Linked DNA regions of Canis lupus familiaris. The protein of the gene in region 3 interacts with the protein of the main gene of each other region in a pairwise test. Links are inferred from orthologs where the notes say so. Each region holds a gene or a part of one and is shown on either strand. Other genes may lie near its edges. The genes, in order: OTX1, HOXA1, RGS20 and PTPMT1.

The links.
Region 1: the proteins of RGS20 (region 3) and OTX1 interact in binary tests that used the Homo sapiens proteins (3 or more experiments, as listed by UniProt). The two-hybrid records come from large-scale screens. The link is inferred for Canis lupus familiaris from reciprocal best matches to the Homo sapiens genes RGS20 and OTX1.
Region 2: the proteins of RGS20 (region 3) and HOXA1 interact in binary tests that used the Homo sapiens proteins (3 or more experiments, as listed by UniProt). The two-hybrid records come from large-scale screens. The link is inferred for Canis lupus familiaris from reciprocal best matches to the Homo sapiens genes RGS20 and HOXA1.
Region 4: the proteins of RGS20 (region 3) and PTPMT1 interact in binary tests that used the Homo sapiens proteins (3 or more experiments, as listed by UniProt). The two-hybrid records come from large-scale screens. The link is inferred for Canis lupus familiaris from reciprocal best matches to the Homo sapiens genes RGS20 and PTPMT1.

Annotation. Positions count from the first base shown.
Region 1 is NC_049231.1:64,121,362-64,127,893, reverse strand, and holds part of OTX1 (homeobox protein OTX1), read right to left. Parts: intron 6,406-6,532; 5' UTR 6,337-6,405; intron 5,126-6,336; exon of another isoform or gene 4,724-5,125; 5' UTR 4,614-4,723; coding exon 4,517-4,613; intron 3,625-4,516; coding exon 3,473-3,624; intron 2,303-3,472; coding exon 1,484-2,302; 3' UTR 1-1,483. UniProt on the Homo sapiens protein: Probably plays a role in the development of the brain and the sense organs. Can bind to the BCD target sequence (BTS): 5'-TCTAATCCC-3'.
Region 2 is NC_049235.1:40,360,995-40,368,434, forward strand, and holds the end of HOXA1 (homeobox protein Hox-A1), read right to left. Parts: coding exon of another isoform or gene 7,237-7,440; exon of another isoform or gene 5,868-7,236; coding exon of another isoform or gene 5,755-5,867; exon of another isoform or gene 5,613-5,754; coding exon of another isoform or gene 5,494-5,612; exon of another isoform or gene 5,401-5,493; coding exon of another isoform or gene 5,380-5,400; exon of another isoform or gene 5,272-5,379; 5' UTR 5,216-5,271; coding exon 4,570-5,215; intron 4,090-4,569; coding exon 3,734-4,089; 3' UTR 2,567-3,733; downstream 1-2,566. Other genes in the region: WAS/WASL-interacting protein family member 1-like, read left to right, coding at 5,380-5,400, 5,494-5,612, 5,755-5,867, 7,237-7,440. UniProt on the Homo sapiens protein: Sequence-specific transcription factor. Regulates multiple developmental processes including brainstem, inner and outer ear, abducens nerve and cardiovascular development and morphogenesis as well as cognition and behavior.
Region 3 is NC_049250.1:5,841,827-5,849,649, reverse strand, and holds part of RGS20 (regulator of G-protein signaling 20), read right to left. Parts: intron 4,401-7,823; coding exon 4,392-4,400; intron 4,157-4,391; exon of another isoform or gene 4,072-4,156; intron 2,602-4,071; coding exon 2,287-2,601; intron 1,790-2,286; exon of another isoform or gene 1,295-1,789; intron 983-1,294; exon of another isoform or gene 958-982; intron 946-957; exon of another isoform or gene 859-945; coding exon of another isoform or gene 790-858; intron 601-789; exon of another isoform or gene 196-600; intron 1-195. UniProt on the Homo sapiens protein: Inhibits signal transduction by increasing the GTPase activity of G protein alpha subunits thereby driving them into their inactive GDP-bound form.
Region 4 is NC_049239.1:42,510,099-42,518,718, forward strand, and holds the start of PTPMT1 (phosphatidylglycerophosphatase and protein-tyrosine phosphatase 1), read right to left. Parts: upstream 4,600-8,620; 5' UTR 4,572-4,599; coding exon 4,398-4,571; intron 4,286-4,397; coding exon 4,205-4,285; intron 950-4,204; coding exon 758-949; intron 1-757. UniProt on the Homo sapiens protein: Lipid phosphatase which dephosphorylates phosphatidylglycerophosphate (PGP) to phosphatidylglycerol (PG).

The DNA.
Region 1 (6,532 bases), on a different chromosome or scaffold from region 3:
AAAGGGGGAGGAAGGGGGACTGCCTTACATTTCAACAAGTAATTTGTGATCTTCACATCGGACAAATCAAATTTACAAATTACTTTCCCACCTACTGGACGAAAAGGCCAAAGCCAAAATTGATACACAGGCGCGGGGCTCTCCGCAGATTTCGGAGGAAGAAGGTGCACTAAAAACTCACTAGACAAAACAGGGTTGTTTAAAGAGAGAGAAGCCGACAGAGGAATTGGAACTGGGGCTTGGGGCCTGGGTTGGTTGGTTGGTTTTTCCTTAATGCCGTATTTTTTATTTGTTTTTTGTTTTGTTTATTTTGTTTTGTTTTCTTTTGTGATTGGTCTCTAAACCAGAACTGGACGACCCTGTGCTTCGACCTGGGGAAGGGCTTGGTCCTACGTCCCCGCCCGGCCTAGCCCCCTCCCCTGTACCCTGACTTGGCTGTTGCCTCCACACTCTCTGGACCCTCCCGACCCTCAGCGCCCAGCTTCCTGGAACCAGAAGGTTCTCGTTAATAAATACACAGAGGGAGGAGGTGTGAGAGGGCATGTCAGCTTTGCAACAACTAAAAAAAAAAAATAAAAAATAAAAGCGCCATCGTTTAAGGAAGAGAGAGGAAGGGGGACAGAGGGAAAATATTTTTTGCTTTTGTTTTATATATATGTGTGTATATATATGTATATATATGCTGTATATATCTTAGAGTTCTATTTCCTGGGCGCTAAGACGAGATATGTTCAGTTCAACCAACAGCAACTAAAAAGTTTAAGTGGTCCCTGGAACGGACCCGACTATGTACAGCATTCCCGCCGAGGCGGAAGCTTGAGCCAGTTCTACGCAGGGCGGGGCTGTGCGCGAGAGGCTGGGGGCGCGCTCCTCCCTGGGGCCTTGTCCCAGCGCAGCCCGCCGGGGAGGAGAAAGCGCGCGGAAGGTCTGGCCCGCAGGCGGGGAGCGGGGCCGAGGGCAGCCGAGGGAGCGGTAGTCTGCAATCGAGAAACACTCAGAAGTTGTCTTGATTTGGGGCAGAGTGGGGGTGCGCTCCAAAGGGCAGACACATGCCAGTTAGTGACTCCAGTGTCCAGAAAGAATAAATAAAAGTGTAGGGCTCAAACAGCGAGTCAGAGCAACGAGCCTCCGAAGGCTGCAAGTGCATAACGACTGCCCAGAGAGACTGGAAGAGAGCGGCTTAGGAGTTCGTTGGGGCTGGAGGAGGAGGAGAGCGCACAGCCCTCCCCACGTGGGCAGAACTTGTGGGCCAGGCCGGGGCACCGGTCTCCTCATCCGAGGGGTGGGCGGGTCTGCACATCCCCCAAACAAGTGGCAGAACGAGGAGGGCGGCAGTGCAGGCAAAGGGCATCTTTTAGGGGCGTGAAAATTCAGGTCTGCAGAAGCCGAGGCAAAGGCGGGCGGTGCAGCAGCAGCAACAGGACGGGGACCACGGAGGGCGCAGGTAGTTGCGTTTCTTCTCTTCTTCCTTCCACTCCTGGGCTCACAAGACCTGGAACCGCCACGAGGCTTGGTCCTTATAGTCCAGACAGTCGGGCGAATTGAAGTTGAGTTTCCAGGCGGAGGAAGCGGCGGCGGCCCCAGGCTCCTTGTAATCCAAGCAGTCGGCGGAGTTGAAGGCGAGCCCCGAGCCGCCGTAGCCCTGGTGGTGGTGGTGGTGGTGGTGGTGGTGGTGGCCCGAGGACTGGCTCAGCGGGTGGTGGGCGTGCGGGTGGTGGTGGTGGTGGCCGGCCATCGAGGAGGGCGCCATCGGGCTGAGCTGGTGCGGGTGGTGATGCGAGTGCATGGGCGCCAGGTACGAGCTGCAGTCCACGCCGCCGAAGTAGGAGGAGGAGGGCGCGGGGTAGCCCTGCGCGTAGCTGCCGCCCTGGCTGTAGGACATGGGGTAAGAGGCGGCGGCCGAGGCGGCGCCGGCGGCGACCGAGCGCTGCATGCAAGACGCGTTGCTGGGCGCGGCCAGGGGCTCGGGCACCGACACCGACGCGGGCGCCGAGCCCGGGGAGATGGAGGCCGGACTCCAGATGGACGAGGCGGCCGGCGTGCTCAGCGACGACGGGACGGCCACCGCCGGGTTCCCGCCCAGGCCTGCCGCCGCGGCCGCCGCCGGGTTGGCGGAGGCGCCGGATCCCGAGCTGGAGGACGAGGCGGAGCTGGACACGGCGGGCGGCGTGAACTGGCCGCTGCTTTCCGAGCCCGAGCTCTCCCGCACCGGGGACGACTTCTTCTTGGCCGGGCGGCTCTTGGTCCCGCTCCCGCTCTGCTGCTGCTGGCGGCATTTGGCGCGGCGGTTCTTGAACCAGACCTGCAGCGGCCCGAGGAGGGAAGAGCGGGTCAGGGGGCCCCCGGGGCTCGCGCGCCGCCCGGCCGGGCCAGCCCCCGCCCCGCGGGCCCAGCTCCGCCACCCGCCCCATCCTCCTGGTGGAAGATCCTCCGGGAAGTGGGGCTGTGCACCTCCCCACCCCCAGCGCGAGTCCGCCCCCGGGCGGGACGTCCGCGTCCGTCCAGCCAGAAGTCCAGGCATCTCTGAGCTGCTGCTGCTGCTGCTGCTGGCCGCTCCCCAACAGCCCCGCGCACGCGGGGAGGCCCGTCCTCTCTGAACAGGGCGCACGACGCGGCGGAGGCGCGAGGGGCACCGCGGGGCGGGGCGGGGCGGCCACCGCGTCCGAGGGGGAGCCAGCCGGGGCCCGGAGGCCCCGGCCTGGGCCAGGCGGGAATTTGGGCGGCGGCGGCGGCAGGCGGGGAGGCCGACCAGAGGCCGTGCCCTCGGGGCGCCCCGGGAGCAAGCCCGAGCACAGTTTCGTTGGGCGTCTTGGCTCCAAGTGGGGAGCCAAGTGGCACAAAGTTCTCACGCCCCTTGGAGGGCCCCGGCACAGGGCTAGGGCGTTCTCCCGGTTCTTTCCCGGGCCTCGAGGGCAAGGGAGGCGAGATAAAAGGCCCTTGAGGAGAGGTCGGAGTTATAATCCAAACAGGACTTTTATCGCAAAAAATCAGAAGCAAGGCCCGTAGCCGGGTTTTGCGTTTGGCATCCTCTCGGGGCGAAGGGAGCGTCTCCCCAAACCTGCGCCACCCCCGGGGGCGCGCCCCGACAGGGCGCCAGGCTCCGGCCAAGCCCCTCTCGGCCGCCTCCAGGATCCCGGGGACGCGGGGCGAGGGCGGAGGCCCAACTCCGCACCCCGGGCGCCTGGCGCTCGGGAGCCCCGCCTGCCCTCCCGACAGCCTGAGGACTCCCAGCTGCAGGCGGCCGCGGGAGGCGGCCAGGGCAGGGCTCGGAGCGGGCCCTCCAGCGGGGCCCCTCGCCGGGCCGGGCCGGGCCGGGCGCTAGGGGGAGTCGGAGAGGGCCTGGCCAGCCGCGGGCCCGCCCCACCGCCCCACCGCCCCACCGCCCCACCGCCCGCCGCCCGCCGCCGTCCCGACCCTCCCCGGCCCGCTGCCCCAGGGCCCGGCCCGGCTCCGGAGCCCTGGGCACGCGCACCTGGACTCTGGACTCCGGCAGGTTGATCTTGAGCGCCACCTCCTCGCGCATGAAGATGTCAGGGTAGCGAGTCTTGGCGAAGAGCGCCTCCAGCACGTCCAGCTGCGAGCGTGTAAAGGTGGTGCGCTCCCGCCGCTGCTTCCGCGGGGTGGCTGAGGGGACACGCGGGGGCGCCTCGGGTCAGCGGTGGCCACGCGGACCGCGCTAGACGACGCAGACAGGCCCCCGGCAGGGCTCTGTGCGAGGCCGTTGCAAAAGCAAGCCAAGCTCCAAGCGAAAGAAAACTCCCCCAGGAGGCCGAGCCTGAGAGGCCACAGGTGGGAGAAAGTGCATGTGTGCGACTGGGAACCAGTGTCGTCAAGACTCCAGAATTGCCCCCTTCCCTGCCTCTCGGAGGTTAAGAAAGGAAAAGAAGTTATACAATCCCCCTTCTTTCACCACCTCCCCCCCAACACATCCCCTGGCTGGAGGATGGGAAAGGGGTGCGCAGACACACCACCTGGAAAACGCTTTCCGAGGGAACAAGTGGAGATGAAGGAGCGGGAGCTGGGGCGGGGAGGAGGCGGCTCAAGCCTTCCACATCCACGGTGCAAAAGTTGGTGCAGACAGCGGATGTAGAGGACAATTCAATTAGGGAGGGAGAGCCCCTCTTCTTCGTCTCAGCCAGTCACTTCTCATAAGAAAAGCCTGGCCCTTCCTGTCAGGGCCTAGAGAGTGTCCAAATCTCTCTTTCAACATTGGGAGGAAAGGAATAGATTCACACACACACACACACCCCAAAAAAGCCACCCATGAGAAACGAATCCTTGGGTAAGTGGGCCCTGTGCTGGTGGTGGGACCACAAGAGACAGATTGCCCAGCTTCACTGGCCTGGCCTGCCTCATGCACCCGCCACTGCCCTGTGAGCCTGCGGCGTGCAGAGCACTGCAGGCAGACCCGCCATCCCACTCCCCGGGCCTGCTCAGACACCGAGTGTGCGCTCAAACTCAAGAGTCTGGGCGTCCCCAAGATTTGCAGGGGCTGGGGGCAGGGACTGGTGCTCACCCGGGTAGCCCACGGAAGGGTGCAGGAGGTCCATGGCTGGCCCGGCCAGGCCCAGCCCGTTCATGCCATATGGGGGTTGTTTGAGGTAAGACATCATGCTAACAGCCGGGTGGAGGCGCCCGGACGGATCCAGGGGGCCGGGGCCAGGCGCAGTGCGGGGCTCCCACTGCGCAGTCCTTCAAACTCTGCTGCGTCGGGGGGCCCGGCCTATGGAGACAGGAGACACAGGTAAACAGTGACTGGGAGCCATCTCGGTTTCCTGGTCTCGTCGGAGGCGAGCAGCCGGGGGCTGGGGAGGGCACGCAGGCCTGCGGAACTCGGAAGGGCGGTCAGCTTGGCTCTACAAGGCCTTGGCCGGAAGACCACAGCTTCTTTGAAAAGTCAGCTTTTCTGGATCGTCATCGCCTCTTCTCAGGCGTGGAATGGGTAAAAGACCCTCGTAGGGCGTCGCTAGGAGTGCGGAGAGGCTAAAAGCAGGGCCAAGCTGGAAAGTGAGGGCCTAAAACGCCCGGCGTGCAAGGTCCCAAGTCTAGGCCAAATTCTGGTCGGGTAGGAGCCGGCCTCCATACTGCAAGAGCAAACGTTTACTCGGCGCCAGTGAGGCAGGCTGCCCAGGGCACCAGAGGTTGTTTCGTTTCGTTTCAAAATGTTTTTGAAAAGCGGGATGAAAAGGTGGAGGGTCGGGGAGAGCTAAGGTGAGGCGCCGCGGGAGGCTAGCGGCACCTGGGCCTCTCCGGGTGGCAGGGCCCACTTAGGGTGCGCTCCTGCAAGGGTGTCCCCGCTGGGTCTGGGCCCCCGAGCCCACGGCCACCCTGCCAGTTGACCTCCCTGCGCCCGGCCGCGGAGAGGCCGCTCCCCGGGGAGCCCAGCACACCTGGGCCACAGTAACAGGCCCGGGCCCACGGCGGCCAGGAGACGCGGACGCGGGGGCCGCGGGGGCTCCAGGGCGCGGCGGGGGGTCAGGGGCGCCCAGGCCCCGCCGCAGGCCCCCTCCCCGACAACGCCCGCCGCCGCTGCTTTCTGCCCGCTGCTGGCTGCTGGCTGCTGGCTGCGGACAGCGCGGCCCGGGCGGAGGCCGGAGGGCGGCCCGCCCGGCGCCCCGAGGGGTCGCGGATCGGGGAGGCCCGGGCGCCGCGCCCCCGCGTGCTCCCGGCCTATCCCGCCCGCCCGGCCCGCGGCCCAGGACCCTGCCCAGGGCCGACGCGACTAGGCCTCGGCGGCGCAGCTCGGCTGACCCGGGCCGCCAGGTCGAAGCCCGGCTCCCCGCTCGCCTCCCCCCGCGGCGCCGTTCGCAGGGGCAGGGAGTGGAGCTGGGGGGCGCGGCCGCGGCCCCGGGGGACCCTGCGCTGCACCCCGCGTCGCGGGGGATTCAAAGCAGGCCCGGGGCCGGGCTGGGGAGTTCGGGGAGGGCGGGGAGAGCCGGGGCGGCCTCCCGCGCCCCTCCTCCAGGCCCCACGGTCTGGGCTGGCGGACCCCAGCTGGCAGGGAAAGGGGGGCGAAGGAGGGGCAGCCCGGGGCTCCGGGGCCCAGAGAGAGGGGGGCACGCCGGGCCGCCGCGCCTCTGCCGAGCTGCAGCGTGAGTTTCCAGAGACTTTCTTCAAACTTAGCACTTGAGCTCGCTGACTTCGGAGGAGGCGGGGGAGGGGCCGCGGGGCCGCGGCGGGGATCGGGGGTCCTCCGCGCGCCGGGAGGGGAGCCAGGCCGCCCCCCAGCCCCGCCCACCTGCCGGGGACCTGGGAAGCGGGGACCGGCTCGGGGGCCGGGGTGGGAGCAGGCGGCGCGCTCCCGGAGCCAGGGCGGCCCCGCGGCTGTCTGCTTACCTGCCCTCGGCTGCCGGGGCCGCTCACCATCTACCTCGCGCCCTCGCGCAGGCCCGCGGGGCAGCCGACCTGCAAAGACAGAGGGCGCGGGGGTTACTCGCCGGGCCGGACGGCGGGTCCCGGCTCCCCGGGGTTCTTGCTTTCCCCAACTTCCCTCCTGCCTTCTCTTTCTTCCCGGTGGCTTTGTGCGGGTCCC
Region 2 (7,440 bases), on a different chromosome or scaffold from region 3:
TAAGTCAAATGAAACCTAGTGGATTAGCAGAAAGCTAGAAGAGGAGAGAGGCAGAGGGCAGCTGGAAGATCCTCTCCCCACCTACAAGAAAAAAAAAAAGCCAGGAAGAGAGAGGAAAGTGTTTTAAGTTTCTAGTAAACACTGTTTAGCAAAAGAATAATAGGAAAGTTGCCCCTTTCCCAAAGAGGGATGGAACTATAATTGTTGCCTTTAGCTGAGAGCTCAGATAAACCGCTGGGACTCATTCTAAAGTGACCCATCACTGCATTCATCTCTTCTTGAACTTTCAGTGAACCTGAGATTAAACAGGGGTGAGCAGCTAAGCAGTTTGTTGTTAGCAGCCTTTTCAACAACCCTTTCAGACTGAGTAAATATTGATCGGTTTGAATCTGATTGCCCCAGAGGAAAACACCACCGCATCTGAATAGCCTCCAAAAGTAAACTTTCAAAGGTGAAGCCAAGAGCAAGATCTCAACTCAGCCCAGGTTGGGGACACCCTGAATTTCGGGAGTACTTTGAACGAGTGTGAAGGAAGTGAGGAGAAAGCGATTGAAAACTGGAATTTTGTCTTACAATTACCCCCAGTCCCTTACTGAGACTCTTGGCCTTTTTTAATATATATCACTAAAGTGCTATTTTTGTGTTTTCTATCTTTTGTTGTTTCAGTCACCATTGCTGTCATTTTTCAGGGAGCTAACCAACCATGCTCCTGAGAGACCAAAACAAAAAAGAGACCTAGAAATAGGATGTGGTAAGCGCCTCTGATTTAATCGATTGGGACAACTAAAAAGATACAAATGTTTTCCTGTTGAAGGGTATATTAATGTTTCCTAAATGCATTGCTTGTTAACTGATTTATTCCACGACCTAGAGAAGGCTTTGGATGCTTAGCCATAATTTATTGTTCTCCCCTTTCTCGGCTGCATTAAAACCAGCACCTCGAAGACTGGAATCTCCAGGATTCCAGCGGGTCCGGCCCTGCTTTTAGATATTGAAATTACGGCAGTGGCATGCAAATGACACTTTAACACATTAAAGAATTTGGAAACCAGCCATCTGTTTTGCTGTGTGGCCTTACACTAATAAACAAAAGATACTGTATAAGGCCAGGGTGGGAAATGAAAGAAAGAGTTGGCCGACTTTGAAGTTCTCCATCCACTTGAGTCTTTTAGAGGCAACCGCAGAGCCCAGGATCCAAGAGCCAAGGGGAGGGCAGCGGGTGCCCTTGATATGGCCGCACAACTGCGCCTGCAAAGTCCAGGCTTGCCCCCTTTGACAGGGAAGTACAGGAAGTCTCATGGGTGCTCGAGGAGACCTGCAAATTCCAAGTTTTTGTAGGATTTCTCCTCCCACTGCCAGCCCATCCTTTGTGAAACACCCTTTGTAGAGGAAGAAGGTCATATGCCTGTATTTGTGATGCTGTATCTCTGCTCTACCCTTGGAGCTCAATTAAAGCCTCTGAAAATGTGCGAAGGCGAAGGAAAAGTGGTAAGAGATCTGGGAGGAGAGCCATTTTGAACACTTTGATTTGCTGGCTTCCTCTGTTTGAGAGCAGACACTTGCCTCGGTTGGAAACAACTTGAATATTGAAGGACTTCCAGGCATCTCTTCTTTATGAGCTCCTGGACTCTCCTTTCTCTCTATCCTACTTTAAGGGCCAAAGTAGGGGAGAACTGTTAATATACAGATAGGTAAAAGATAGGCCTCCCTCTGACATGTTTCTGCTGGCAAAGGAGACTATATTCCAACTGCTGGAAGCATCTGTCGAGCCCAGAGAAGAAAATAGAAACTTTTTTTCTGGGTTAGGGGATTAGAACTGGGTTATGGATTAGAGCAGACCCATTACAGCCGAGGAGGCTATGAAATCAAAGCTGAATCTGATGGGAATGAGATATGTAACCCAGAGGAGCTGGGCAGGAGGGCCTGTAGAGAGTGGCAGGAAGGGAAGGGTACTGACAGGAGGGACAGGAGGAGAGAGGCAAGGGTTTCCTGAAAACAGACCATACTCGATTTAGAGGATGGAATATACTGGAACACTGCCTGACAAGCAGAAAAAGAAGAGGGTTAAAGTGGAGGCCTTGCCCTCAAACAGCTTTATACTGGAGCTCATTAAATGTGAATCCCTTAGCTCTTGGTTCACTGATGTGAGGAAAGACGGACTGAAGAGTTTGGGCTTTTGAAGGGCGTTCTGTTTATACATACGTCAACATTCAGTTGGAGGTGAAAAGGTTAGCACTTGACCCAGGAAGTATCCATGTTTCTTTCAAAAATAGATCTGCCTTATAAATTTCTTCACCATCCATTTTTTTCCATTATGAACTTGGATTATAATAAAGGAACTATTGTTATTTTAAACAAAGTCAACCTATTAAATAGGCATTCGCTAGGTGCCATGACACTCACAGGGGAAGTTTCAGCTACATAATGGAAAGCCATTTACTTTTTTTTCAAGGAAAGGCCCACCTCTGAAAGTGCACACCACCCTTCCCCAGCAACCATGTGAAATGAGCCAATCTTGTTGGAACCAACAAATTGCAGCCAAGCCAAATACAGGGATGCTTAAGCATATGTGAAACTTGAATATATTTATTACAGACATCTTAAGACCCGTAAACTCTGCTCTGGATCACATTACTCCAGGATCACAGAGCTGTTCATGATTGTACAGGAAAGGGGGAATATCATAGACTCACAAAGAATAACTGATATAACTCAGTGTGGTACTTCAGGGACATGAAAACATTGTGCGACATGCAAAAGACTATTCACGAATCACACAAAATATACATTCATTGTGCCATCCATCACATTAACAAGTGAGCTGAAAATACATCATATCCAGCAAAGATAACTGTGGAAGGAAGAAGCTGGCTTGAATAATACCTTTAGGTTCTGAATAACCCAGCACAAATTTTAAATAGAGTGTGGCCAGAGAAACAATAAATGGGGTGGGGATGGGGAGAGACTTAGCACAGGAAGCAAGGTTTTCGAACCTTGTGTTTTTTAGGTCTTCCTAACTCACCAAAAGAACAAATGCAGGCTACCCTCTGAGGCATCTGACTGAGTTTAAGTAAGCAATTTTATTCTTTAACCTATAATCACATATAAAATTGTACCAGCTTTGAGTTACCCACCCTGTTTTAATCACTTAATCTAAACATTTCTAGAAAATCTGTATAAAGATAAATCTCTCAGGACAAAGTATTTACAACCAGCAAACACACACATGAAATTGAATTAAATTAAGGGATGAATTAATTGTGTAAACACGCTCATAGTGCATCTCTTCTTTATGAGCTCCTGGACTCTCCTTTCTCTCTATCCTACTTTAAGGGCAAAGTAGGGGAGAACTGTTAATATACAGATAGGTAAAAGATAGGCCTCCCTCTGACATGTTTCTGCTGGCAAAGGAGACTATATTCCAAAGGACATCTAAAAGGAACAGATTCTGTGGAAATCTTCCAAAAGTAGGGAGGGGTGTTGGGAGCCGTCAAAAAATTGATTATGGCACCTAATCTGCATCAAGGAGTTAGCACACACACACACCTCAATCAAGCCTCTAATCTAGAATTCTCTGGAAACACACTGTTCTGGCCAGGAGCTCCCCAGATAGGATCAGAAAGGAAGAGAGAGACTGTAAATGGAAGGGAAGATAAGCTAAGAATGTGCTTTGGGTAAGAAGTCCCCAGCCCTCAGAGTAGCCTGGGTTGCGGAGTCTGGGGCTGGGTGGGCCTCAGTGGGAGGTAGTCAGAGTGTCTGAGGTAGAAGACCCCGGAGACGGAATGCAGGGCGAGGAGCTGGATTTCTCTGAAGATTCCTCCGCCTTCTCCTCACTTCCTGGCGGGGTGGCAGGGGAGATGGGCAAAAGGCCCTCTTTCTCTCGTTTCTTCTGCTTCATCCGGCGGTTCTGGAACCAGATCTTCACCTGGGTCTCGTTGAGCTGCAGGGATGCTGCGATCTCCACCCTGCGGGCGCGGGTCAGATACTTATTGAAGTGGAACTCCTTTTCCAGCTCGGTGAGCTGCTTGGTGGTGAAGTTGGTACGCACTGCATTCGGTTGACCCACGTAGCCGTACTCTCCAACTTTCCCTGGGGACATGGTGGGGAGCGATGAGAGAGAAAGATAAAAATTTTTACCGTCCATATGAGATCCCCTATATGCTTCAGAGCAACATTCAGGTAAAGGGGAGATCAAGAATTTCTCAACAGAAACTGGGCTGGGAAAGGAGACTGATGAGGTGTAAAGTGTTAATCTGAAGTCAACCATTTGCATGGTCAGACTGGTGATTAATGGAGCCTGGAGATATTAACAGAACCACCCCCCAACCACCACACAAACACACACCCCTACCCACTTCCTACTCCAGAACCTCTAAAACTCAGCCTCTTGGGAAACACAACACTCCCAGATGCTCCTTTGCCCCGATACACCTGGGCACTCTCTCCACACCCTACAACACCGGTGGGAAGAAGCAAGAACTTTTCTTGAGTATTAATTTTCCTTGGCAACTAAGCAAACTAGCTCCTTCCAGAACCATCAAGGAACATCCAAAGAATGGCAAGACTGACCTGTTTTGGGAGGGTTTCTTTTGACTTTCATCCAGTCAAAGGTCTGTGCTGGAGAAGAGGTCTCTGATGTAGGGGAGCGACAGGCTTCTTGGTGGCTGGCGTGGAGAGGGGACAAGGAGTTATTATACGTGGCCAGGGCCAGGCTCTGGTGCTCTTGTCCATATGAGTGGTGAATGTACTGAGGCGAGCCCACCGCGCCCCCGGCATAACCCTGGTGGTGGTGGTGATGCTGGACCATGGGAGATGAGAGATTTCCAGAGTAAGCTGCGGGAGCGCACGAGGGGTACCCACCACTTACTTCTGCTTCCTGATTTAATGCGTAAGGGCTGTAAGGCGCGCCGAAGTTCTGCGCGCCATAGCTTGGACCACAACTCGAATGGGAGTAGGACACCCCCAGGTTCCCGGGAGTCTGGTAGGTGGCCGCTTGGGGGTGGTGATGGTGGTGGTGGTGGTGGGGCGGGCTGATCTGCACCCCCCTGCCCACTAGGAAGCGGTCGTCGCCGCCACAGCTGTTAGCACTGACCGCGCACGACTGGAAAGTTGTAATTCCATGGTCGGAAGGGTAGGCTCGCGCTGAGCAGGTCCCTGAGTCGCCACCGCTGAGGATGGGGTATTCCAGGAAGGAGCTCATTCTTGCATTGTCCATCTGTCACTGAGGGACCGGGTCCTGCGAAGCCCTGGGTGACCGTGCCAACTTTCTCACTTCCTCCATGGGGCCGGAGAAGAAAAATGATATGAATGTACAGTGCGCAAGAGGGGGGGCGCGAGGGCGGAGGGCGCAGGGGGAGGGGCACGTGACTCCGCCAGCCAATGGCGGAGCCTCCTGCGAAAGTTTGCTGGCTCCCGCGGTGATGGATCACCGTTTCAGTGGCATTTAAATCCCCGGCGCTGCTCAGTCTAGGTGACGCGCAGTCGCCCCCCCAGGCAGCCCAGGCGGCGGCGGCAGCTGCGGCGGCTGCAGGGGCAGATTCGGAGCGCTGGGCCGAAGGGGAGCAGCCGCCACCCTCTGCGCGCGCCGACTGCGCTCTCCCCCCCTCCGGGAGGTGGGGGCTGGGAGGCATCCCCGTCTCCGCCCCCTCCCCACCGAGCACAGAAAGATGAACTGGCGAGAGGTGAGAAGGGAAGAGGGCTCCGTCTCTCCGGGGTCGGGAACCAGCGGGCCAGAGCTCGCCGCCCTGCCACCAGCTCGGGGCCCGAGCTCGCCGTGCGCGGAGCAGGAACGGCAGCTCCCCGGGCGCTTTTCAGTCCACAGTCCCTGCTGCGGTGCCGGGGCAGCGAGAAGCCCAGGGGACAGTGGCGTAGGACGAGGCTGGGCCACCAGCTCTTCAAGCTCGGAAGGGAGAGGGAAGTGGGCAGAGGATTGGCCTGCAGGACCCCAGGTGGGCGTGGAGGGGACAAGAGCAAGGGAGAAAAAAAACAAAAAAACAAAAAAAACCCTCCCTTCTCCAAGGAGGGTCTCCGAACCCTACTCCCTCCACCCTAACATTATTAGCAAGGCAATGAGAAGCTTCTGTAATTCGACGCCCGGGAGCGGGTGATTGGTAGTATTTCAGCTGGCCGGAAAAGGCCGGGGGTGGCCGGGCTCTTCGCCCTCCCTCTCTCCTCGCTCTCCGCCCCTTTCTCCTCCCCACTCGGCTTTGCTCCGGGAGCCCTACGGGATCCGGAGCAGCTCGGCCGCGGGATTTTGAAGGGTTGGAGGCGGGGGAGAAAGATGACGCTAGCGGACGTGGCCAGCGTGGGGGCCGGGCGGTGCGCTGCAGGCCATCTGCCGGCTCCCCCGGACCCAGGAGTCTGCGCGCTCCGGCAGGGGCCTCAAAGGGCGAGCCCGCAGCTCCAACAAAATACGCTGAGCTCCCCCCGCAACGGTGCTCGTTTTCTGCAGGGGGGATGTTGGGAGTGGTAGGGCCTCCTTTATCCACTGACCGCCCCCTCCCCTTTCTACTGCACGTCTGAGGTGGGGGGTAGGGGCTGGCAGGTGGGAGGGGCGGGGGACAGATGGCTGATGGTGGACGGGATATTTTCTTCTTCCCCAACACCTCCTCCCCTTTGTAACTGCCTGTGTAGTTCCTTGTGTGAACCTTCAAGTCTTTCCCTAGAGAGACACGTGCAAATCTGAGCGTCATCCCAGGCCAGGGGTCCTGTTTTCCATCACCCTCATCCTACCCTGATGCTGACGGGGTCGTTAATTGCTGTTTACTATTAGGTTTCGTGTCAACCCTTGGCTTGTAGAGAGAAAATGCCAAACTGAGACCGAGGATTGATGCATTCTTAGGTAAAAGAAATCCAGAGATCATCCAAGAAGCTTTGCAGCCAATGCAGCATAGATTTGTCTCTGACCCTGTGTACCACATCGGAATCGAACAGATAAAAGTAATTTGAGGATGGGGTTCCCACTCCCCTCTAGCTTTCCTTCCCCAGTTAGAAGAAGAAAGTTTTGCTCGAGGCAGGCACATTTCAAGTGTGTTAGTCAACCTTTCAGGGTTCTCCATCCTGTTCTCCACTTATAGAAGGCTTCCCCCCTCCCAAGTCGCCCCTTCCCCCAGGGGAAACTCTTGCAGAAGTCAGACTACGGATTCCCTCAGTAGCAAAGAAACATTTCCCCCCCAACATTTCCTTTTGAAATGGTATTTTTCAATGACCTTTGACCTATCCCCAACCCCGGTTAAGAGAGAGCATGGACAGGAAAGGTCACTCCTGCCCCAATTTCAGCACCTGGGGACGTTCATCTTCGAGAAGGGAAAAGGAAAGGCGGCCCTTCTGGAGGCGGCTTCTTTGGGAGCTCCAGGCTTCCAGCGACGGGGAGAGGAGGGGCTCCTGTCGGGAAGGAGGTGGAACGTGAGAGGGTCCGTGCTGGCATTGCGGACGATCTGC
Region 3 (7,823 bases):
GCCCGCCGGTTCCCGCCCACCCCGGCTGCGCACCCAGCCCCGCCCGCAGGCGCCCACCCGCTGCGGCGCGCAACCCCCCCGGGGCCTCGGGGCCCCTCCCCGCCCACCCCCCACGGCCGGGGACCGGCCCGGCCCCGCGCGCCCACGCCCCTTCCAGGGTCCGCAGCCGCGCCGCGGGGACACGTCCCAACTTACCCGGAGACTCAGTCGCCGGGGTTTGTTCAAGAGCAGCAGCCGCGGCGCCCGCACCTCGCGCCTGGGCGCTCCCGGCGGGTTCCGGGAGCCTGAATGCGGACACCGGGTCAGACCCGCTCCCCGGCGCCACCGCCCCGGCGGCGCTTTTCTTACGGAGGCTCCGGGATCCAGGGAGTGTCTCCTCCCCCCCCGCCGGCGCTCCGGCTGCGCGGCCCGCGGAGGATGCCGACGTTCCCACCGCCCGGAGTTCCCCAAGCCTACTTCGGGAGGCTTCCAGGGCTGGAGCCCAGGCCGCCGTGGTTGAGTCGTGCGGACGTCCCGGTGGACCCGGCAAAGCTGATGCCGGCGGCTGGACGCCCCCCTTGAGACCCAGGACACACTGTGAGCCCGGGCACCCCCGGGACGCGCCGACCGATCTGCGGGGCTGCAGGGGCCGTGAGGCGACCGACCCGCACCAGCTCCCGCCACCGCGGCTCCGACGACAGCTCCCGGTCCTGCCCTGCGGGCGCGCCCCGCCTGGCCGCCGCCCCCTCCCAGCCCGAGGCCTTCGAGCGAGTCCGAGCGGGGGCAGGGGGCGAGGGTCGCGGTACTCACGAATTCGCCGTCCGCTGGGCGAGCCGGAGGGGAAGCTCGGGCCAGCTCGCCTCGGTCGGCCGTGCGCATGCGTCTAGTGGGTGCCTTTTTTTTTTTTTTTTAAATATTACAATACCACCTGGTAGCTTTACTTCGCCCGCGACTGCTCGCCTCGGTCTTTCCTCTCACCTTCTTCTCCGTCGCTCGGGCTCCCTCGGCTCTGCCTCCTCCCCCCCCGCCCCCCCCTCCCCCCCCCGCCTCCCCGGCCGGGCAATCCCGGCCTCGCCTCCCTGCTGCCGCAGCGCGCTCCACTGCGGCGGGGGCTGGGGTCGCCCCGGGCTCCCGGAGGGCCCCAGCCGGCGGCGGGGCTGTAGCCCACTCCCCCAGCCCGCGGTTGGGCCGAGCCCGGCGTGCCGGCACTAAGCCAGGCGAGCGCGGCGAGCGCCTGCAGATCGCCTCTGCCCCCCTTGGCTTGGGCGCGCGCGGGCCGAGCGAGACTCGGTAGTGCGGGGACGCGTGCTCAGACCTGGTGAATGGAGGCGGGCGGAGGGAGGTGCGAGCGGAGGGGGTGCTCCAGCCCCGGAGAGTCACGCGGCGGACCACCCGGCGTCTGGAGGGCAGCCCCCTACCTTCTTCCTCGCCTCGGGTGCTTCTCCGAGCTCTGCCCCCGTCCCACCCTGGTGATGCCTCTGCCTGTCCCTCACTGGCGACGAGCTCCACGCCCTCGGCCGCCGCAGCCCGAGGCCCCACCAGGTCGACGGTGGGGGTAGGGGCGAGGCGCTTGGCTAACTCCGGATTCCGGATCCCGCTGAGCCCCCTGGCAGCTGCCTGCCGTCCCCCGGTCTCCGAGCCCCAGGCGTAGGGAGAGACCTGGGGGCGGGGCGGAAAATACGCGGCAGCTCAGCTCCTGGGGCACAGAGCCCCGGGGATCCCCGTAGGCCCCTCTGTGCGCCCTCGGGAGCGAGGCGCGCACGGACCGCCGGGGCCCGAGCAGGAGGTTGGAGGGCCAAACTGAAGCTGGAAGCTGACCTGACACAGAAATAGCATCACGTCATTTCCTCCCCGGCCTCCAGAGCCTGCGGACGGCCAGAGGGCAGGGGAGTGGGCGCGAGGAGGGGCGGAGGCGCGTTGCGGGGAGGCTCGGAGCAAGGGGTTGAGCCGCACGTTAAGAAGGAGAGTTTGAGAAGCAGCCTCAGGAAGGGCGAGGACTCCCTCCCGCCTCCACTGCTTCCATTCACACTGGATGGAAAAGGTCCAGGAAAAGTAGCTACCGGGGTCCGCTGCGAAAAGGAGTGTCAGCCGAGGCGCCGGCGCCGTTTCCTTGAACGTGCTCAAGCCTCTCTTAACCTTCCCACCAAAACTCTCTGCCTCTGCCCCCACACCTCCCGCTCTGGCCCCTCGCGGCGGAGCCCCTGCTGGCCCGGCGCGGAAGGGGTCAGTCGGGGTCAGGAGGGAGCTGGGGGTGCGCGTGTCCGGGTGAGGTCGGGGGTGGGGCGTGCTGGGGACCACAGTACTCACGGGCACGGGCGAGCTCTGCCCCGCGCAGGCGTCCTCTTCCCTGGGCGCGCGGCCCCCCGGGGGTCGGCTGGGCAGGGCCAGAGCTGCCCCCAGCAGGAGCGAGAGGCGGCCTGGCCGCTCCCCGTGGCCCCGCGAGAGCCTAGCCGCTGGCAGAGAGCGAACGGAAAGCAGGAGGGAGAAGTCCGGGCGCCGCTGGGGAGTCCCAGAAGGGGGTCGCCGGAGAAGGTGAGAGAAGAATCGCGCGAGGCCAGAGAGCGTGCCAGACAGGAGGCTGAGCGGCTTCGGGGCAGCGGGCGAGTCTGGGAGCTGTGCAGGGTCGGCAGCAGGCAGGGCAGGAGGTAGGGGGAGAGAAACAAAATCAACACACCGTTACTGTTGGCTCTAGCTACAGATAGAAGAAAATGTGTATTTACTATCATTTGCTACAGCATTTTGAGGCTGTATTTTGGGGGTGCAAGAGAAGGTAGGCGAGAGCAAAGGGAAAGGCCTTTGGTTAGATTCTCCTTCTCTATTCTCTCCTCCCCCCTCCCCTCCCCCCTTTCTAAACTCTGTGCTACTCAGTGTGGTTCTTAGACCAGCAGCTTCAATAACAACCAGGAGCTGGTCAGAAATACAGAATCTGGAACCCTGTCCTGAACTAGAGCATCAACATGTGAATGTTAACATTCCCAGTGGGGTTTGTATGCACCTTACATGTGAGATGCAGTGTAAAGAAGCGTCTGTATTGGTGTTTCTTGGTTCTTTAGGATTTCCTAGTGAATGAAAATTCACTTTTGCAACTCTTGCTCATCTCCCATTTTCCCTCTGACCTTTCCCACCTCCCAAAGTGCCTAGAGTTCTCCCTGCTGAGTCATAGAAGTTAGACTTGGTTACTAGGTTCCCTTGTGAGAGGTGTCTAGGGGAGAACTGATTAATGGCAGAGGACTGAGCAATCCGAGACCAAGGCTGGGTGGAACAAGGGACTGGCTGATTTGGCTTTGGCTGTACACGTTGGAGTGGGCAGGATACTAGGACTGTTTTGGGTCTCATAAGTGCACACTATGCAGGGCCCCTTTCCACACTCTCATGTGTCCATCTTATTCTCAGGAACACAGGCCTTTGCACCTTCCACTTGTTGCGTGGGATATCAAAACAGCCAGTGTGAAGGTAAAATTATTATTATTTTCTTTGAAAGTAGAGGGAGGCATTAATTTAGAAGTCAGAAACCCAAGGTTCTAGACTGAGCCTTGCAACTAAGTCCACTGCTTAACCTTGGGAAAGTCTCTTTATTCTTTGAATTTATCTGCTTCATTTATAGAGTAAAGGGATTGAACTCTGGCTTTTTAAAGTCACCTGCCTAGTCAGGTCTCATTTTTAGAGCTTCACGGTCCACTAACATTTAGAGAAGTTACAATCCAGAACCTAACTCAGCCAATACAAACAGCACCCTCAAGCAAAACAAAAAGACAATTTAATCTGTTTGTGAAAAACAAGAGTGGTGGTTGCCAAGAAATTGGAAGGTGGAGGCGGGAAGCAGCGAATAAAAGTGACAGGGTGGCGAGGCACGGGAGGGGGCTAGGCTAGCGGGGCGGGAAGCGAGTCCCCAGGGCGCGGCCGCCGCTCTCCAGGGTCCTGAAGGCGGGAGCGGCCGCGGGCGGCCTCCGTGGGCTTGGCTGCGTTCCCCCTGCTCCGCAGTTGGCAGGCCCCGCATGTTTTCTTTGGGCGGTAGAAGTCTTGTGGGAAGCAATTGTCGAGAGGGAGGGAGGAAACCTAGCAACCCATTCTCATTCATGAGGCCCTTTCTGGGAAGCCGCCGAGCGCGTTGGCCGATTTGTCTTTCGGTCGTTTGTATGCGCCCGGGGAGAGAGTGGAGCTCGGTTTGCATTTCCGAGTAAGTTCACACTGTTTCGCTTCCCCTGATTACCTTTTCCTGGAGAATGGGGTCTTTCTCCTAGAATTTTCATTCTCTCCGTTCAATTGCTTCTTTCCCCTCCCCTGCTTTCTGGCACCGTGCGTTTATTTTAGGGATTGGAGCTGAGAGCCCGGGAGGCTCCTGGAGGAGGGCCAACAGCGCACTCGAGGCGGGGGGCGGGGTGGGAGGTGGGGAGGTGGGGAAATGAGAGAATTGGAAAATACTCAGAGCGGGCCTCGGCGCCCAGCTTTGGTCTCGCGGGGGAGGAGGCAGGGACGAGTCCCTTGGTCTGGGGTTGGGGTGGGTGCTCAGGAGGCGCCAAGCGAGCTCGGACGCCGCGGGCAGCTGGACTTGGACTGATCGCAGTTCACTTCGTGCGCACCTGCCGGTGATGGTGGGCCAGTGGCCGTGGCCGCGTCCGTCTCGGGTGAGCTGCCGGACGACAGCAAAAACCTAAGCGGATGCGGGCACGGGGGCCTGAAGGACCCCATGGAGAGGAAGTCAAGAAAGAACCGGTTCAATCCGTGGTGACCCAGAGCCTGACTAAGCCCGCCAGCGACCTTTTCCGACCAGCCTTCATAGAAAGGCTTGAGCAAAGATTAAATCGCTGGAAATGAGCAACAGGTACACTTTCTAAGGGCCCAAAGGAGGCTTCACGGGACTTCTGTGGGTCCCAGAATTTGCATCTCCAGCTCATATTTTCAAATGGCTTTGTGAGAATGTGTGAACCTATAACCTGACCCTTCTCTCCTCCCAAGTCCTTCTTCCCAAGTCACTTGCACGTCCTCCCCGCCGCCCCCCCCCCCCCCCCCCCCCCCCCCCCCGCACGCTTCATTAGGCATTTTGCTTCGGTCTTTGCTTCAAGACAGAGACGCTTGTGAGGGAAATAGTGGAAATGTTCAGGCAGAATAAAAGTCCCAAACTCAGCCCCAGAAAACCAAAGCCCCTGCTCCGCTGCTCCTTTGGAGACAGTCAGCTTTTACCCTTCCCTAGGTTGGTCTTTTCTCTCAGGTCTGCTCTCCAATTCTGGCTTGTGTCTGGACACGCCGCAGTCAGAGCAAGTCTGGGCAGGGACGACTGGCTTCTCTAACAAGCAGGGGGATGAAGCATGATAGTGTAGGGTGCTGAAATCCTACTCCCTCTGGCTCTCCTGGCAAGTACAGAGCCCTGGAAGTGTCAGTGGAGCCACAAAATTTGATCTGATAAAATTATCTGAGGAAAGACTTCTGCTGCCTGCCGTGCTCCAGAAATCCCTGTCTTCCTTTTAGGCCAGATTCTAGATGACAGTCTGAGGGTTTCACTAACATTTTGCACAAAATGAAATCATCTTGGAATCTGTATTACTGAAAGCATCACTCCTTAGGGATCCAGAAGACTTAGGGAATACTTTATAAAGATCGAATATCCCCTTCCCTACTTAATCATATTGGCTACGAACCCTGCAGAGGAAAAAAAAAATCACCACACCCAAATCAATATACACAAAGTCTCACCCCTTTAAAAGGCAAATTGAAGTTTTGCATTCACCCCTAAATAGCATCATTTCATAAAGGAAGCATTCATGGCAGGATTAAACTACTTTTAATAAAAAATTTCTGATAGACTTTAGAATTAAAATCACAGGATGGAATTTGAAATTAGATTTAATTTTATGAGAGGACCTTTTTTTTTCTGGACTCCTTTTTTTTAACCTCTGTTTTGCTTTGATTTAGCCATATTACACATTTTTATTTTTTCATTATTTGGAGAAATAATTCCTCCACTTGGATCTAAGAATCTAATTGGCAATGATTTAAAAGTCTAATACGGCAAGTCTTTGCTTGTGCTGACTTTAAATCATGCAGATTGGAAAATGGCAAGATAGAAGATAGACAGATCATGGATAGTAGAGTCACAGGTTAATATTAATTTGAGGCCAACCAAACAATGATGTTTCTATTAGGTTCTGCTTCAAATCTTGATGTTCTTAGTGAAAGTACAACTGTTAAAAAGAATATCTCTGTAGCTCATAATTAGTTTTGACTTCATTCTTTTAATAACTTTCTAGTGGGTCTATGCCTAGGGCTTACATGGAGGTGTTACAAGTAGATGTTACATACTGGAGCATTGGTAATAAGGAGGGGGGGTGGAACTGGGAACGGAGGGGACCAGAAATGAGGGCTACTTAGGTGACAGGCATGTCTGGGGGAGGGAAACACTGCAGGCTGTCTGCTCAATTCTTTCAGAGATAACTGGGCCCTTTGCCTTCCTGCTGGTGTTCTTAACCAAGTGAGGAGCTTAATATAGGAGGTGGGTCTTTATTTGAATCTATGTACATATATTTATTTGATTATACACAAAACTGAACTCTTGGTATTCCACTCCAAACTTTCTGCTCCACCTCGGTGAATGGCCACTTGATCATTTCAGTTCAGGTCAAAACCACTGGAGTATCCCTGCTTCTTACATTCACAGTTATCACTGTGTTATAGGATGAATTGAGTCTCCCTCAAAATCGTATGTTGAAGTCCTAACTCCCTAACTCTCAGTACTTTAGAATATGGCCTTATTTAAAAATAGGATGGAGCAGATATAATTATTTAAGATGAGTCATGTTAGAATAGCATGGGCCTCTAATCCTATGTGACTGGTATCCCTATAAAAAAGGAGAAATTTGGACACAGACACACACAGAGAATGCTATGTGAAAATAAAAGCAGTGATGGAGATGACGCATCCACAAGCCAAGGAATGCCAAAGATTGCCAACTAACCATCAGAAATGAGGAAGAGGCATAGAACAGATTCTCCGTCTCAAGAAATCTGGCCACGAGACTGAAACATAGAAACCCTGCCTCAAAAAAAAAAAAAAAAAAAAAAGAAACCCTGCCTCAGTTTCCAGCCTGTTGACTTATCCTGCAGATTTTAGATCAAGACTGAAACATCAGTTCTAACCTGAATTTCCAACCTGCCAGTTTACCCTACAGATTTGAGATTTGCCAGCCAACATGATGGAATGAGTCAATTCCTTAAGATAAATCTCCCACTCCCTCACCATCCCCTTTCCTTCTATCCTCTCCCTGCTACTCTCTGTCATCATCTGTCTATCACATATATATCCTATAGGTTCTGGTTCTCTAGAAAATCTTGTCTACTACCCTTTGATATAGGTCTTATCATCATTCATCTGGACTTCTGAATTACCCTTCTAGCCGGTATTTCTACTTCCCCTTTGCCTCGTTTCTCTCATTTTGCCTCACATCCCTTTAATATTGAAGCTAGGATTTTTCTTTAAAATGTAGGTCAGGTTATGCCACTCTGCAACTCCAAACTTTCTATTGGCTTCTTATTTTGGAGTAAAATCCAAAGTCCTTACACTAGCCCTTAAGACACAACATGAATGGTCCATCCTACCGCTAAGATCTCCTCTTCCTGTAGAGCTATTCTTGCAATATTGGTTTTCTATAACACTTATTACTATTTGGCATATTATGTATTTACTTCTTTTTTTAATGATGAAGTAGTAACTTTTTTCTCTTTTGTTCATTGCTATGTCAATAATGCCTAGAACACTGTTTGACCCTTAACAAAGTGCTCAATAAGTATTTGTGAGACAAATGAATGAAAAAGCAAGCTCAAATATTAGTCATAAAAAGGAATGGAATTCT
Region 4 (8,620 bases), on a different chromosome or scaffold from region 3:
TAGACAAAATTCGGTTAGATCCTGTTTCTAAAAACTGATGTCCAGAACTTTATCCTGAAATACTTTAAGAAATCTTTTTTTTTTTTTACTTTTTTTTTACTTTAAGAAATCTTGAGTCCGGGGGATCCCTGGGTGGCTCAGCGGTTTGGCACCTGCCTTTGGCCCAGGGCGCGATCCTGGAGTCCTGGGATTGAGTCCCACATCGGGCTCCAGGCATGGAGTCTGCTTCTCCCTCTGCCTGTGTCTCTGCCTCTCTCTCTCTCTCTCTCTCTGTGCCTATCATAAATAAATAAATAAATAAATAAATCTTTAAAAAAAAAAAAAAAAAAAGGAAATCTTGAGTCCTACAAAGCTGTAAGTGACCAGCACTATTATCTACAATACTAGATTTCCTGACATGCTATTTATAAGAAGTGTTTTTATTTTAGCCTTTTACTAGTGTTAACATCTTTTGCAACTTCATTTTTTGAGTGCCTGCCATAGGTCAGTGCTTGACATTCTTTCTCATTCAAGCTTCAAGACATATTTAGTTTGAGGATCAGGGAGGGGACGCCACTTTTGCCTAACGTCACACAGCTGGCAGGTGGCAAAGCCAGAGGTCAGCCTATCTACAAACTTCAGGTGCTTTCCACCTCCCAACAGCCTGATATTGGGGACTGCCTGAAATGGCTCCTTCCAACAAGGCCTTCAGTAGACCATGCTACTGAAGTTCTAGAAATATGCTGTATATAAACCAGTCCAGAAAGACCTTTCCTACCTGAATCAGATATGCTGCCACCATAGTGGCACTTCTGGAGCGCCCAGCCTTACAATGCACGTAGACAGACTGGCCCAGCGACTGGTACTTGAGAGCAAACTGGACTCCTTTCTGGAGGTTAGCCAAGGTTGGGACTCCAGTCATGTCTACTGTGCTGAGCCGCAGCTGTTCGACTCCTACTTTCTTCCATTCCTGGAACCAGGTCCACCAGCATAAAAAAAAGAATGAAAAAAGCCTGATGTTTACTATTTTCTAAACAAGAAACTTCTTACAGAGATGTCTATAAAATGGATAACCCGCATTGCTGGTCTTTTATCAAACAACAGCTGTGCTACTGAGTTAGAATTATGTTCAAGATTTTAAATGTTCCCAAAGTACCATTTGGGGGATGCCTGGGTAAATCAGCAGTTGAGCATGTCTTCAGCTTAGGGTATGATCCCCCGGTCCCAGGATTGAGTCCCACATCAGGCTCCCTGCATGGAGCCTGCCTCTCTCTCTGTGTCTCCCATGAATAATAATTAAAAAAAAAAAAAAGTACCCTTTGGGTATTTGAATCTTTTTATTTTATTTATTTGAGAAAGAGCACATGCATGGAGAGCACAAGCAGGGGGAGCTGCAGGCAGAGGTAGTGGGAGAAGCAGGCTCCCCACCCAGCAGGGAGATGTGGGGGCTTGATCCTAATACCCTGAGATCTTGACCTGCACAGAAAACAAATGCTTAACCAACTGAGCCAACCAGACACCCGTATTTGAATCTTTAGCTACAAAATATTAGCTGTATAAAATTCATCTACAAAAGTTGTGTAACTTTTTGCATAATCTTGGCACCTGTGCAGTGACCCAGCTGCAGGGTTGGGCTACTGAATTTTGCAAGAGCTTTCTATTTTTCTGTCTATAAGTCTCTTCTTTACCACTTTTTTTTTTGAGAGAGTACATGGTAGAAAATAAAGTTACCATTTCAAAATTAACACACCTGGGGTGCCTGGGTGGCTCAGTTAGTTAAGCAAGCATCTGCCTTCAGCTCAGGTTGTGCTCCCAGGGTCCTCGGATTGAGCCCCACATTGAGCCTCACATCAGGCTCCCTGTTCAACGGGCAGCCTCCTTCTCCCTCTCCACCACTTGTGCTCTCCTGTGAACGCATACTCTCTCTCTCAGATAAATAAAATCTTAAAAAAAATAGTAATAATAAAAATAAAACAACACACCTATCTTTGTTAGTACATTATCACTTCAGAAGAAAAGAATAAGCAACAGGAGAAATAAGGCCTCTGGCATATCAATAAAATTTATTTTTATTTTTTAATTTTTTGCCTGACAACTCCAGATAAGGTGATGCCTGGGTGGCTCAGTCAGTAAAGCATGTGACTTTTGATCTGGTTGTAAGTTCAAGTCCCACCTTGGGTATAGATTACTTAAAAAGTAAAATCTTAAAAAAAAAAAAAAAAAAAAAAAAAAAGGACGCCTGGGTGGGGCTCAGTCATTGAACATCTGCCTTTGGCTTAGGGCGTGGTCCTAGAGTCCCGGGATCAAGTCCTGCACTGGGCTGCCCTCGAGGAGCCTGCTTCTCCCTCTGCCTATGTCTCTGCCCCTCTGTCTGAATAAATAAAATCTTAAAAAAAAAAACAAAAACAAAAACAAAACTCCAGATAGGCTCCAGCTAATAGTTATTAATCTGCTTATTTCTTTTTTCTTTTAAAAAACATTTATTTATTTGAGAGAGAGAGCACACCATCAGGGGCAGAGGGAGAAGGAGAAGCAGGCTCTCCTGCTGAGCAGGGAGCCCCACCATGGGGCTTGATCCCAGGACCCTGAGATCATGACGTGACCCTAAGGCAGTGGCTTAACTGAGCCACCCAGTTGCCCCATTTAATTTTCTTTTGGTTATTTGTTTGGCTGAACTTTATGACTTAAGACTTTATGACAGAGGGAAGGTCATATACTGCTCATGAAATTAACAAAAGAACAGCATTTTGCAGCATGGGGCTTTGTATCCATTATGCCAGAAATACCTGAATATTTGCTAAATATTCAGATTCCTGGACCCCACCCTAAAGTTCCTGAATCAGAATTTCTAGGGGGTTGTACTTAGGAATCTGCTATTTGAATACTGCCAGATAATATTTATGTTTATTAAAATGTGAGAAGCACTGCCTTGGAGATCTCTTTTCTCTAGGCTAGTTGGGTACTATAGCTGCATCATACAAGTGTCAATGCCTCAGACCCAAAGACCAAGCATTTTTTGTGACTCTTACTCCACAGGACTGACCACACTAAGGAACATTTAACATTTTGGCTAATAATTCCTGAAACCTTGTAGCAAAGTACTTTGGGAAATCCAAGAAACTTATCGATTTCGTAGAAATGTATGTCATTACTAATGAATATATTTTAAATGTGAGTCCATTTCTAAGGTTACAAAAACTATCAGTTGAAGTAACAGCATCTTCAACAGGCTATATCAACAGTAAACAAGAAAGAGGACTATGTAGTGAGTGCTAAAAGATGTCAAATGCAATAAAGACAGGGCAACATCGTTATTTATTTTGGGGGCGGGCGGTCTTAAGCGGGCTCCACACCCAAAAGGGAGCCAGAGGCAGGGCTGATCTCAGAACCCTAAGATCATGACCTGAGGGAAAAACTAAGAGTTCCAAGCTTAACTGACTGGGCCCCCAGGCGTCTCAGGGCAACATCTTTATATAAAGATAGGGCCATGTCTGATGACTGTTGTGGAGAGTTCCACAAGCACTGAAACCTAGTGAAAATTGTTTTAGGGGGCAACTCGGGTGGCTCAGCGGTATAGCACTGACTTTTACCCAGGGCCTGATCCTGGGGACCCGGAATCGAGTCCCACGTCAAGCTCCCTGCATGGAGTCTGCTTCTCCCTCTGCCTGTGTCTCTGCCTCTCTCTCTCAATGTGCCTCTCATGAATAAGTAAAAAATTTTAAAAATCTTTAAAAAATTGTTTTAGGTCTGAACTCTGTTGTGACAACACTTCCACTCTATCATTAACATATAGAATAACAATTCCCTCAAGTCGATGCCAAAAATTGAAGCCTGTATAATTTTTCAAGGGATTGTTTTATGATAAATTACCCTTGGGGACCGAGAGGGGGCTTTTGTTCTTGGTTTATAGGGTCTCCGTCTTGGGTGCCTCACGGACTGCCCGGCAGCGCTAAGTGTCGAATGAATGCAATCAGCAAGCCTTGGGAAAGCGGCCTTCCGATTTGGTTACTGACTCGAGTTCCGGAAATTAAGAAAACCTTTGTGCATAAAGGAGTAGTCAGACTTGGTTCTACTTTTAAACGCCTTTCTCACGGGTTTCTCTTTCACGATTAGTTTCTACCTCCGGCCGCCGCTCCCGAAGCGGAGGAGCCGCCCGGGGCACGACCGCAGGGGCCGGGTGCTCGGCGACGCCTCCCTCCGCCCCCGGCCGCCCCCGGCCCCTCACCTTTGAGGAGTTACACAGGAACCGCGTCTCATATTCCTCGTTCATGGTGATCACCCCGCGCACGTTCTCGTCCTGAACCAGCTGCCGAGGCAAAGACGGGGCTCAGGGAGGGCCGCGGGGGCGCGGGCGGCGCTCGCCGGCTCCCGGTCCGCCGCGGCCCGGCCTCCCGGCCCGGCCCCCCGGCGCCGCTCACCCGGCGCGTCATGTTCCGCAGCGGCAGCGCGCCCAGCAGCACCGTGGGGTCGATGCGGTGGTACCAGTCGCGGTGCGCCCGGCCCGGCACCTTCCCGCGGAACAGGGTGTACAGCAGCGTCGGGTAGAAGAGCACCCGGGCCAGGCCGGCCTCCAGCAACCCGCCGGCCGCCATCCTGCCGCCGCCGGCCTCAGGCAGCCGCGCCTCACCCACGCCGAGGCTCGCGGGCCGCGGCCGCGAGAGGAGCCCCGAGGGCGACGGGGACGAGGGCGGCCACTCGTCCGCCGCCTCCCGCGAAGGCGCCGCGGTCGCCGCGGGCCCCTCCGGCGCCGAGGCTTCGGGCCCGGCCTCTCGGCGCTCGGCGGCGCAGCCCGAGGCGCCCGCGCCGGGCTCCATGGTCCGGGAGGAGGGGCCGCCGGCCGAGGGGAGGGCCCGGGGAGTCCCAGGCGGGCGGGACGGCGGGGCCCGAGGCCTGGGGCTCCGCCGGGCGAGACACGGGGGCCCCTGCCCGCGGCCGGCGGCCTCCCCCCACCCGAGGGAGGCCCGCGCCGCAGGGAGGGGGCGGCGACCCCCCCGAGGGGAGACCCGTCGGGGAAGAGACCCTGAGGGGAGGGCTGAAGAAGGGGCGCTGAGCTTCTAGGCCGGGGCTACCTTGGCGGAGAGGGCGGACGGGGTCCCGCCCTCCCCATCTGCCTGGACTCCCTGCGCCCTCCTCCTGCCCGAACCCCAGGGTGTGTGAGTATGAAGAAAAAGTGTATCTATAGAATCTCTAGGGAAGCCGAGGTGGCTCTGGCGCAGGTCGTGATCCCGGGGTCCCGGGATCGAGTCCCACATCGGGCTCTCCACAGGGGCCTGCTTCTCCCTCTGCCTGTGTCTCTGCCTCCCTCTCTGGGTCTCTCATGAATAAAAAAATGAAATCTATAAGTAAATGAATGAATGAAAGATCTATAAATGAATGAATGAATAAATAAATAAAATCTCTAACAACATATATACAAAATCTAATTATGAAGATAAATTAAGAACATATTGTGATAAGCTTAAACGTAAAAACCACAACCTACAGAGAGGTAAGAGGAATGGTTGTGATGCTGCTTATTTACATTTAAGTGGAACCTACATCTGATGCTCTTTATTTGCGTCTGGTACTTTTTTTTTTTTAAGATTTTATTTATTTATTCTGGAGAGACACAGAGAGAGGCAGAGACACAGGCAGAGGGAGGAGAAGCAGGCTCCCTGCAGGGAGCCCGATGTGGAACTCCATTCGATCCTGGAACTCCAGGATCACCCCCAGAGCCAAAGTCAGACGCTCAACCCCTGAGCCACCCAGGCGTCTGGCGTCTGGTACTTTCTTTAAAAAAAAGTTTCTTCTCTCCATGTAAAAGTAATACATACTTGGGGCGCCTGGCTGGCTCAGTCAGTGGAGCATGCAGGTCTTGGGATTGTGATTTCAAGCTCCACCTTGGGATTAGAGTTTACTTAAGAAAAAAAATTAAAAAGTAATAGATACTAATAACAATTGGAAAATACAGGGAAGTAGAACTTACTCGAATTACCCATATATTTTTTTAAAGATTTATTCATTCATTTACTTGGCAGAGAGAGTGAGAGAGCACAAGCAGGGGAGAAGGTTCCCTGGTGAGCAAGGAGCCTTCTAGGGTCTCAGTCCGAGGACCCTGGGATCATGACCTCTGTGGAAGGATGACACTGAATTGAGTGAGCCACCCAGGTGCCCCTCTACTTATCCATAATTTCACCACCACAGATATATTTCTTTTTCTTTTTCTTTTTTTTTAAGATTTATTTTTTTATCATGAGAGGGAGAGAGAGAGGCACAGACATAGGCAGAGAGAGAAGCGGGCTCCTCACAGGGAGCCTAATATGGGACTCGATTCCCGGACCCAGGATCACTCTCTGAGCCAAAGGCAGATGCTCATTGTACCTTCAGACAATGCAACCCAGGTGTCCCTACATGTATTTTTCCTTCAATTTCGTAACTGTACCACTAGAAAATTTTTTTGTAACAGCTTTGAGATACAACTCACATACCATACAGTTCACCCATTTAAAGTGTACAATTCAATAGTTTTTAGTATATTCAGAGCTGTACAATTATCACATTTTATTTTTTTTTTATTTTAGAGAAAGAGCAAGAGTGGGTGGAGGGGCAGAGAGAGGAAGAATCTCCAGCAGACTCTGCTGAGCTTGCAGCTGGATGCAGGACTCAATCTCATGACCCCGAGATCACCACTTGAGTGGAAACCAGGAGTCGGTAGCTTAACCAATTGAACCACTCAGGTGCCCTTCCCCAATCAATTTTAGAACATATCATTTATTCATACCCCGCCCCTGGCCAAGTCCCATATCCCCTTTCCCCACAGCCCTGGGCAACCACTAATTTACTTGTCTCATAGATTTGCCTGTTCTAGACATTTCAAGTAAATGAACTGCAATATGTGTCTTTTGAGTCTGGTTTCTCTCACTTAGCATAATGTTTTCATGGTTCATTCATATTGTAGCATGTGTCACTACTGGTTTTTTTTGTTTTTAAAGATTTATTTATTTATTTATGATAGACACAGAGGAGAGAGAGAGAGAGAGGCAGAGGGAGAAGCAGGCTCCATGCTGGGAGCCCGACGCGGGACTCGATCCCAGGACTCCAGGATCGAGCCCTGGGCCAAAGGCAGGCGCCAAACCGCTGAGCCACCCAGGGATCCCCTGTTTTTGTTTTTAAGTAGGCTCCACTCCCAGCATGGAGCCCAACTCAGGGCTTGATCTCAGGACTCAGATCAAGACCTGAGCTGAGATCAAGAGTCAGACACTTAACCAACCGAGCCACCCAGGCACTCCAGTACTATATTTTTTTATTGCCAAATAGTATTCCATTGTACGGTTTATTGCCAAATAGTATTCTGTTGTACGGATATATCAAATTTTGTTTCCTCATTTATCAGTTGACAGACATTTGACTTTTTACACTTGTTAGCTATTTTGAATAATGCTGCTGTGAACATTCATATACAAGTTTTTGTGTGGACATATATTTTCATTTCTCTTGGATATCTACCTAAGAATGGAATTGTTCGGTCATATGATAACACTATGTGGTCTATATGTACCATTTTTATTTTTTTTAATTTTTTAAAAAGATTTTATTTATTTATTTGACACAGAGAGTGTGCACAAGCAGAGGGAGCAGCAGAGGAAGAGAGGGAGAAGCAGGCTCTCCACTGAGCAGGGAGCCTGGGATCATGACCTGAGCTGTAAGCAGACAGACGCTTAACTGACTGAGCCACCCAGGCACCCCTATATGTACCATTTTTAAAAAGCATAGTAGGGACACCGGGCTGGTTCAGTCAGTAGAGCATGCAACTTTAGATCTAGGATTTGTGAGTTCAAGACCCATATTGACTTTAGATTACTTAAAATTAAAAAAAAGTTAAAGATTGTATTAATTTATTTATAAGAGACACACAGAGGCAGAAACATAAGCAGAGGGAGAAGCAGGTTCCTTTCAGGGAGCCTGATGTGGGACTCGATCCCAGGACCCAAGGATCATGCCCGGAGCCAAAGGCTCAAACACTGAGCAACCCAGGTTTCCCTAAAAAATAAAAATAAAAAAAAATAATTGTAATCATGTCACCAAGCTTTTTTTTTTTTTTTTTAAGATTTTACTTATTTATTCATTCATGAGAGACACAGAGAGAGAGAGAGAGAGAGAGAGAGAGAGAGGCAGAGACACAGGCTGAGAGAGAAGCAGGCTCCATGCAGGGAGTCCGATATGGAACTCGATCCCGGGACTCCAGAATCACGCCCAGGGCCAAAGGCAGGTGCTCAACCGCTAAGCCACCCAGGCATCCCAGTCACCAAGCTTTTGTATCCATTTTTTTTGTATCCATTTTTATCACGAAATGTGCTATAAGGACTTGCCATATTATTACATTATCTTTACCATTTAGAATGATCCTAATTACTACACCATAATATGATCATTCTCCTGTTATTGGACATTTAGGATATTTCCACATTTTTTAATAATTCCAGCATGAAAATTGTTTCTATATTTCTGTATTTTCCATATTTAGACTTACTATGATAGGATAGTGGAATTTAGAAATTCCTAAAGTGCAATTACTGTATCAAAGAATCATTTACAATTTTTGCTTTATATAAAGTACATAATCTGAAAAGTTCCATCCTTACCCCCAATGCACTCTTCAGAA